Drosophila melanogaster: one gene and its partner. The protein of the gene in region 1 interacts with the protein of each later gene in a pairwise test. Each region holds a gene or a part of one and is shown in the gene's direction. Other genes may lie near its edges.

Region 1 (4,918 bases):
GGCTGGCCGAGCACATGTTGATTCTGGGCATCACCGATCCCAAGGGCGAGAAGAAGTACATCACTGCCGCCTTTCCCTCGGCCTGTGGCAAGACCAATCTGGCCATGCTGAATCCCTCGTTGGCCAACTACAAGGTGGAATGCGTGGGCGACGACATTGCGTGGATGAAGTTTGACTCGCAGGGAGTGCTGCGTGCCATCAACCCAGAGAATGGATTCTTTGGTGTGGCTCCAGGAACCTCAATGGAGACCAATCCCATTGCCATGAACACTGTTTTCAAGAACACCATCTTCACGAACGTGGCCTCCACCTCTGATGGCGGTGTGTTCTGGGAGGGCATGGAAAGCAGTCTGGCTCCCAATGTCCAAATCACTGACTGGTTGGGCAAACCCTGGACCAAGGATTCCGGCAAGCCCGCTGCGCATCCCAACTCCCGCTTCTGCACTCCAGCCGCCCAGTGCCCGATTATCGATGAAGCCTGGGAAGATCCGGCGGGAGTGCCCATCTCCGCCATGCTCTTCGGAGGACGTCGTCCCGCCGGAGTGCCCCTAATCTATGAGGCTCGGGACTGGACCCACGGAGTCTTCATTGGAGCAGCCATGAGGAGTGAGGCCACTGCTGCGGCCGAGCACAAGGGCAAGGTGATCATGCACGATCCGTTCGCCATGAGGCCCTTCTTTGGCTACAACTTTGGCGACTACGTGGCCCACTGGCTGAGCATGGAGAAGCGTGGTCAGGTGCCAAAGATCTTCCACGTCAACTGGTTCCGCAAGAGTGCCGAGGGCAAGTTCATGTGGCCCGGATACGGAGAGAACTCCCGTGTGCTGGAATGGATCCTGCGCAGGGTCAATGGCGAATCCTGCTACGTGGACTCGGCCATTGGACACATTCCCGCCGAGGGTGCCCTAAACCTCGATGGCATGAAGGATAAGGTGGACGTGAAGGAGATCTTCTCGCTGCCCAAGGAGTTCTGGTCGCAGGAGGTCAAGGATATTCGCACCTACTTCGAGTCACAGGTGGGCGCCGATCTTCCGGCCAGCATTTACCAGCAGCTGGACGAGCTATCTTCCCGCGTAGACAACCTGTAAGAAGGATCAATGAGGAGAGTCCCATCTACAGCATCTTTACCTGCCCACACACCTGCTCACCCACTGTGCTATCCCGTACTGACCCCATCACCAACCCAATTTGTTAACCTGTCCTAAATACCTGTCCCCAATACCTTATTTAGTCGTTTCTCTAGTTCTTAAGCCGAAGACTTCCAAACTATTTATTATATAAGCAGCCATAAGATTAGCAAGTAGGCCATACAAACAGAGAAAATTAAAAAAAAAATAAAACAACACGATTTTATAACCTACATCCTATATGAGTATTTATTTATCACAAACTTGGATTTTTGAATGTTGTGAACATTCTAAACAGTATATATACAATAGTTAATATACTAATAAATGCTTTATAGCTGCATGATTTATTTATTAACGCTTCAAACAATCAGTTAAATAGATAAACAAGTTTTAATACGTTTTAGGATTTTTAAATGATTGCTAAATAAATTTCAAATGTTATAATTATAAAATGTGACACTTGTAACTAGTCTTGCTCTTGTTTCATAACTAAGACTTTTAATATTTTTCAAAATCCTAATTTATGGTGTTAATTTGCCAAGATTATAGAAATAAATTAAGTTAAATTTTTCCCACTTGCCTTATATAAGATGAAACCGCTAGATGATTTCCCAATCATCTCCTGCAACGGCTATCCACTGCATTCGCTAGCTTTCCTCGGCTCCATTTTCCAGCCCAATGGAAGGCCGCGAAAAGCTCAACAGTCGGAGCTTTTCCAGCACTTCGGATTCACAGGAATCGGGAGCCAGGAAAAAGGCAGCCAAGAATCGGTGGGCACCACAGTTCAGCTCGAGCAGCCGCCGCCGCAGCTTCGACCGGGCGGAAGTTCGTGAGAGCGGCAGTCGCCAGCGGAAACGGAAGTGCAGAAAGCCCCGAGCGGCTGGCCGTGCAAACTGTTGCTCGTCGGTGTGTGTTGTGCTATTTGTGGTGGTGTTTGTGCTAGTGAATGTGATGGTGATGGTGTACCAGTATCGGTGTGCTGATGTTTGTCGCGGTGGCATTGTTGGTGTTGAACAATTAGCCAAGTTGCTATAACAGACCGAATTATCCGACAAATTTGATGAAAATGGTAAACATTAAACTGTAATGCGGCACGCGGAGTAAAAGTGAGTTTCCCTCTGTCTTAGTGGGTGTGTTTAAATGAGCGCGGGATCTGTGTGTGTGTGTGTGTGTTTGTACGGCACTTTGTAAGCTGCGATTTGACATGTTGATTTATGCGCTGCTCTCACTTTGCCCCCGAACGGCAATTGCCCACCCAACCCCGTCCCCTAAGCACCCAGCCCCCAGCTGGGATTACTCGTGTCCTGTGTCTCTTTCAACGGCACTTCGTCCTTTTTGTAAAGACCTCTCCTTCAGCGGCACTTGTTGCGCTCACAGGACATTCGCTTAATTGCTAATCCTCGCGCCCAGACGCGTCTAATTACACGTAAGTTTGCGCCATTTCTGTCTATCTAACGACGTCACTTTGTGCCCACCCGCCGGCCGTTTAAAGTGCAAATTGGCAGGCGCCTGGGGCATCAAATGTGGATTGCGCGCTTGGGTGGCGAGGTGGTGAGGGGGCTGGGGTGTTTGAAAAGCGGCCCGGAGGTCACTTAATATGCCATCAACATGAGATTTGCACAAATGGCCCCGGCCTCAAGAATTATGTGCTGCAATAAAATCGATGCGTGGGCGGAGCTTCGGGACTCAAGTGGCGGCTAATGACCAACTTGCGACGTGACTTTGGCCAGGATTTGTAATTTGCGAACTGACCAGCCCAGAACCAGCAACACCCCCCTTCCACCATCAGCCGTATACATACTCGTACTCCTAGATCTTAAGTGTTTTATGGACTTTCCCTGTTTGTGTTGTGCACACACTCAGTTTATTTTTACAGCAGAGACAGGGGGTGAAAGTGCCCCGTCGGCATGGGTGGCTGGGCCGGAAGGTGGGGACAGTTGGGGTCTGAATAGTAGGCTGGGTGGGTGGTGTTAAGTATGCGTTTAACGGGTGCGGGCTTAATTACAAGCAAAGTTTACCAAAGGGTTGTCCCGAGAACTTCTCTATGACGCGATGGAGGCCTGCAATTTAATGACGGTCCGTGCAGGAAGAGTCATTACTCCGGCCACCTTGTACTCGAATGAGAAATGATGATGGCCAGCCGGAGCACCAAGGGCGCTAAAGGAAGAGCCGCAGACGGAAAACGGAAAGCGAAGAGTAGAAAAGCGGAAAAGCAAAGAGGTGCCAGTGCAGGCGGACCCGAAGCCATAAACCTGATTGAAGCCCAGCCCACGCATTGGCATTTGTATATGCAAATGGGGCTTAACCCCATTCAAATTATCCACACATCGCTCCCTGCCATGCATAAGTTATGGGCTCAGGTAGCGCAACTCGGTTTAAAGTCAATGGAATCCATCAATAATTCCATCTGCTGCCAGAACCAAGGGCTCACATTTCCTTTAGAATTCAGAAATCTGTAGCAATTATTATCTTACACAAGCTTACCTTTTCTCGGCAACCCATCCGGGCATCAGGACCCTGGTGTAATACAATAAGCTGGCCAAAAAATCCCCTCAAGGCCCCCCAACTCGTTGGCCTTTATGCATACACAATTCCGCATTGAAAAAAGCCGATGCGGACCGAACTGCTGAGGACTTGAATGCGCCCAAAAGAGAACGTGAGTGAGAACGACAGATATTCCTATTGATTTGTTGTCTGCAGATTCTCGCAATGGCGAAACCTGTTGGCCAGAGCGAGAAGGAGTGGGTCAGGTGAGCCCTGGACTCTTGGCCACTTTTCCGTCAACATTTTGTTATCATCCTCGAACCATATCCCCCCCTCGATCCATCCCCATTGGTCGGCTGGGTTCGATTCGTTGCGGTGGCAACACGCCATTATATTACGTGAAATGCAAAATACAACGAAAAAAAAAACGATGGGTATACGGAAAAGCGAAGAGCTGGCAGTGGTAGTGAAACAACAAGTTGCCAAACACTTGAATCAATCACTCGAATAATTGATGCCTTGTAAGTGGAATTTACGAAAAGATTGTCCCAAAGATTCAAGGACTTAAGTGAAAACTTTTAAACGACCAACTTTTCACTTCATGAATATGCATTTAAATTTAGTCCAGACAGTCTACGCAAGAGTTAAGTCACTTTGAGTTTTGAGTTCGGCAAACTTCGTCTCATGAAGTAAAAGCATTATAAATAAAACTTCTCACAAGATGAGTACTCTTATATTGAACATAGCAATATGAAATGGGAATATACATTTGTTTTAGGTGTTAAATCGTTGATAAATCACATACAAATATAAAGTTCCAATGAACGGAACTGAGATTTAATCATCAAAAATATGCCGAATTTTATACGGAATGGAGTACTGAGTGGCATAAAACCGCAAAGGTCCGCATCCAACAGGTAAACTACCAGGTATTCGACTATGGTTATTCCGCACTATTTGCTTTCCCTTATGGGCACGTACTCACGCATATGGATATGTGTGTCGTATTCTGTTCGGGTGTGGGTGTCAGGGCTATTTGTACACACGATAGATAATAATGGCCCGCAGGTCGGACGTGAGCCAGCAGTAGAAAGTGGAAATTCGAACGAGCCACGTGTCCCGGGGGCACAGACAAGTGAACGGCCGGGAGCAGCGGCAACTGCAGCATATGCATGCAACAGCAATGAGGCACGGGAGCTGCGAGCTGCCTCATATAAGTGCAGCAATCGCCACGGGATGTTCCGCTATCGTAAAACTAAAGTGCTGGCCAACATAACCCCTATGCGGGGCATGGAAAACCACTT
Region 2 (4,623 bases), on another chromosome or scaffold:
CGATCAGTGCGAGAAGGCCTACAGTTTCATGGGCGGTCTGTATACCCACATTCGAGAGGTGCATGCCCCCAAGGAGCGACGCCATCCCTGCGACCAGCCAGGCTGCGAGAGAATCTACACCAGCCGCATAGCCATGCAGAAGCACAAAAGGCTGAAGCACAGTCCGCGTGACCGCGATGCTTTGAAGAAATTCATCTGCGAGCAGTGCGGAGCCAGCTTTAACCAGTCGGCGAATCTTAAATACCACCTTAAGACAAAGCATCCCACGGAGGACGAGGTGGCCGCCAGGGAGGGCGGCGCCGGAGAGCGCCATTTCTGCGACATTTGTCAAAAGGAGTTCCATTCACGATACACCCTCAAGTACCACACTTTGCAGCAGCACGAGGTGCAGGAAGAGTTGCCCCACGAATGCCAGGTCTGTGGACGCCGGATGGCCAAGAAGTTCATGCTGCTGCAGCACATGCTGATGCACTCGAACGACAAGTTGCCCTGCGAGCACTGCGGCAGAAGATTTGCCAGGCGATTCGAGCTCGAAGCCCATGTGAGAGCAGTCCACTTAAAGCTGAAACCCTTTCCCTGTCACCACTGTCCGGAGAGCTTTGCTTCTAGGAAAACCCTGCGGCACCATGAGTACATACACACGGGTGAGAAGCCCTACATTTGCGACACCTGTGGACAGGCCTTCCGGCAGCAGACGTGTCTTAAAAACCACCGGAAGGTGCACGAGAAGTAGTCTTAGCTAGCCTTAGTGGAAAAGATTTTAAAATAGACTGATTAAGTGGAAACGTGGCGTCTTTTGAATGTTCTGGAACAGGTAACGCTCTTCGTAGGACATGAAGGTGCTATGCCAACAACCCTTTCCTCAACAAACAGCAGGCATTCACTTAAATAGCTTTAGTCACCAATAACTTGTCTAGTACACAGTGTTATGCAGATTCCGGTGGCTTTGCGGTGGGATCCACCTGTGTGCTGTGTTGCTCCTGTTCGATGTAGACGCGCAAGTCCTCCAGAGGCTTATAGTAAAGGTGAACAGCCTGCGATCCGGCCATCATGGATGCCAGGGCACAGCCGAGGAATTTCAGGTACTGGCCCCAGGAAACTCCGGCGGGCATTTTGCTTAGTTGGTGTTATTCGCGGCTCGCGCCTGCAGATGCTGCTGCTCTTCCACGTAGTTCTTCGCCTGGCGGCGCTTAAAAGTGCGGTCTGCATGGAAAAGATTCCGTATTAGTAAATAAAAGTAAGGTTTTAAGCGTAGCAGTCTCACAGAAATTGGTCTCGCCCACTGTCCAATTGATCATGGAGAATTCCAGGCCGGCGCCCAGTAAAAAGAAGAGCGGCAGGAAGCGGTAGACACCGAAGCGCTTCTTTCCTGGCCAACTGTCCAGCAGACGACGCACGGATCCGCTGTACGGACTCATGTGTTTTCAGCCGGCGGTTATATAATTCCGTGTTGGTTTCGCCAATTTTAAGGCGAGATTCAAAGGTGCCGTGTTTGTGTATTGCCTCCGTCACATGTGTGCGTTAGTTCTGTATATGGTTTAATTGAAAATGTTTAGGCTTGTTCCTTTGTTTATTTATTATTTGCCAAAAGTAAAGGGGAAACTCCACTTGCCTCACGATACAATTTCCATTTGTTCCGGTTCGCAGCAATCAGCTGTTCGATTAGAGATGAGCGAGTGAGCTAGTGATGAGCTGATGTGATGACAACACAACGTTAGTAAATAAATTCATAAGTTAACTATGTATAAGGCCCCTTAAATAAATGTTCGTTTATTTCAGCCTATCTTAATTTCAATTTAATGAAATTATTTAACAGTTACTGAAGCGCTTCGGGAGCATGGTAGTAGAACACCTTCACGCTGTCATCGCTAATGATTCATCCCTGAAAAAAAAACATAGCTTAAACTAGCAAGCAATTTAGGTCGAATTATGATACACAGTCTGTTTATTGTAAACAGCGGCGGGTAAGCCATACCTATAAGTGAAATGTGAAGACGATGTAATACCCATATACCCATATATCCGCATTTCAGCGAGGTCTTCCTGGAAAAGCATTGGCGCTCGGTTGTCTCGAGATCTGTGTGCGAATACTTCCTTGACGCCCAGCGCGCTGCTCCATATGTGAGTCGCCCGTGCCACGTATGGGTTGTATGCTGACCATATCTCTTTGTTGCAGGATGTGCCGCCGGTGATAGCCACGCCCCACTACTACCTGATTACAGTGCAAAGGGACACGGTGTCTTTGGTCGCCGCCTGCAAGCAGGAGGTGCCGCCGCTCTTTGTCATCGAGTTCCTGCATCGCGTGGTGGACACCTTCCAGGACTATTTCGGCGACTGCTCCGAGTCCGTGATCAAGGACAACTATGTGGTCGTTTACGAGCTGCTGGACGAGATGCTCGATAATGGCTTCCCACTGGCCACCGAGAGCAACATCCTCAAGGAGCTGATCAAGCCGCCCAATATCCTGCGCACCATTGCCAACACGGTGACGGGCAAGAGCAAGTAAGTTGAATGATGCTCCCTCCGTCTTTGTCTTTCATTTACCTTAATAATCCAATTAATAATCCGATTTCCGAAGTGTAAGCACTACTTTGCCCTCGGGTCAGCTGTCGGCGGTTCGCTGGCGCAGAAGCGGCGTGAGGTACACCAACAACGAGGCGTACTTCGATGTCATCGAGGAGGTGGACGCTATCATTGATAAATCCGGATCCACGGTCTTTGCCGAGATCCAGGGACACGTAAGTTTCACTTAAGTCTATAAAAATAATTTCTATCTCTTTTATTTTTTTATCAGATCGACTGCTGCATTAAGTTATCCGGCATGCCAGATCTGACGTTATCTTTCATGAATCCTCGCCTCTTCGACGACGTTTCCTTCCATCCTTGCGTGCGCTACAAGCGCTGGGAGGCGGAGCGCCTGCTCTCCTTTATCCCGCCCGACGGAAACTTCCGCCTGATGTCATATCACATTAGCTCTCAGTCCGTGGTGGCCATACCCATCTACATCAGGCACAACTTTTCGATCAAAACGGGTGAGCAGGGGCGTCTGGACCTCACGATTGGCCCGAGGAACACCCTTGGTCGCACCGTTGACAAGGTGAAGCTGGAGCTGACCATGCCGCGGTGTGTGCTTAATTGCCTATTGACGCCGAATCAGGGAAAGTATACCTTCGATTCGGTGACCAAGACGCTGTCCTGGGATGTGGGACGGATCGATGTTTCCAAGTTGCCAAATATTAGGGGATCGGTAAGAATAACTATTGAGACCCTTTACACTTTTACACGATTCATGTATCTAACGTCTTAAATTATTTATATTTTTATCCCATTAATAATATACTGTCCTTGCACGCCTAGGTTTCCATTACGCCCGGTACGACCAACATCGATGCCAATCCATCCGTGAATGTCCAGTTCCAAATCTCGCAGCTGGCCGTCTCTGGGCTAAAGGTAAATCGCCTGGACATGTACGGCGAGAAGTACAAGCCTTTCAAGGGCGTCAAATACCTGACCAAGGCGGGCAAGTTCCAGGTGCGGATGTAGACAAAATCATCATCCGGATTCCAATTCCAGCTTTAATTAATAGCTAACGTTAAGTGTATTCCGCTTGTTTTTTTTTTTTTCATTTGATGTTCTAGCCCTCGTCTCTCTCCCTGTGTATCTCATTTATGTATCTATATCTCTACCCATAAAATATTAACTTCAAGTGTAGTCGCCTTGTCGTTGTTCTTGGACGCCGTCGCCATATTCGAAGAGTAAGAATGCGAGAATTGATTGGGAATGAAGTTGCAAGTCTTCGAGTGGCGTGGCTTGGCATGGCATCGCATGGCAATGGCACCGTCGACTGCACTGCACTCCAAGTCAAGTCACTCCACTCGATCGCAGTGCGCCTGGCAACAGCCAGCGAGGAAACCAATAAATTCAAATGAAAATGCAAAACTTGATTTTGCAGCCAGGCCAACGCATTTAGCATACGAATAGTGTGTATACATCTTGTTTATCAATGTGTGTGAACAATGCGAAGAAGTAGAGACTCGCTAACGTACATTTCTAGGCAAGAGTGCTGAAAAGTGAAAGACTGATCAAATTATCGAGTTGTGACATTACACTATACCCCACGCATTTTGTTAAGAAGAAACCCAAATTCAATTTCTATTTGACTCTTCAATGAGTTTTTCGTTAAATCCCTATTAGAATCAGTTTTTTTTTAATGCAATTAACAAGCACACGAGGTTTCACTGTGTTGCCTCGTTATCTCCTTCTACAAGCTTAGCTGCATTTTTGCCTCTGGCCGAGACCGGTAACCGGTTTGCCCTGCCACGCCCCCGATGCATGCCTTGGACCGCCCCCCTTGACCCATGGCAGCCGCAAGCAGCAACAGCTTCTAGGCTTTTGGGCGCGGCGTGCAACGGTAGCCAACAAGCGCCACCGAAAGGCGACGTCGACCATGGCTAGACATGTTATACACACACACACACACACACAGAGAGAGCCAGCTCTTGAACGGGCACAAAATGTTTGGGGCTCGGACCCCAAACGGGTTGAGAAAATAACTCAGATTTCGAGTCCAGTTCGCGAGTCATTTTTCAAGCGTGGGAAACAGTCGTTAAGAGCCAAGCAAGT

What was found.
Region 2: the proteins of Rgk2 (region 1) and cm interact in a two-hybrid assay, tested with the Drosophila melanogaster proteins (one large-scale study listed by BioGRID).

The regions. Positions count from the first base shown.
Region 1 is NT_033778.4:18,538,058-18,542,975, forward strand, and holds the start of Rgk2 (Rad, Gem/Kir family member 2), read left to right. Parts: upstream 1-1,911; 5' UTR 1,912-2,236; intron 2,237-3,086; exon of another isoform or gene 3,087-4,397; intron 4,398-4,918. Other genes in the region: Pepck1 (phosphoenolpyruvate carboxykinase 1), read left to right, coding at 1-1,088.
Region 2 is NC_004354.4:7,008,398-7,013,020, reverse strand, and holds cm (carmine), read left to right. Parts: upstream 1-1,875; 5' UTR 1,876-1,929; coding exon 1,930-1,964; intron 1,965-2,033; coding exon 2,034-2,121; intron 2,122-2,176; coding exon 2,177-2,502; intron 2,503-2,578; coding exon 2,579-2,738; intron 2,739-2,794; coding exon 2,795-3,247; intron 3,248-3,357; coding exon 3,358-3,543; 3' UTR 3,544-4,015; downstream 4,016-4,623. Other genes in the region: CG3032 (uncharacterized protein), read left to right, coding at 1-733; sloth2 (sloth 2), read right to left, coding at 927-1,112; sloth1 (sloth 1), read right to left, coding at 1,118-1,203, 1,265-1,418.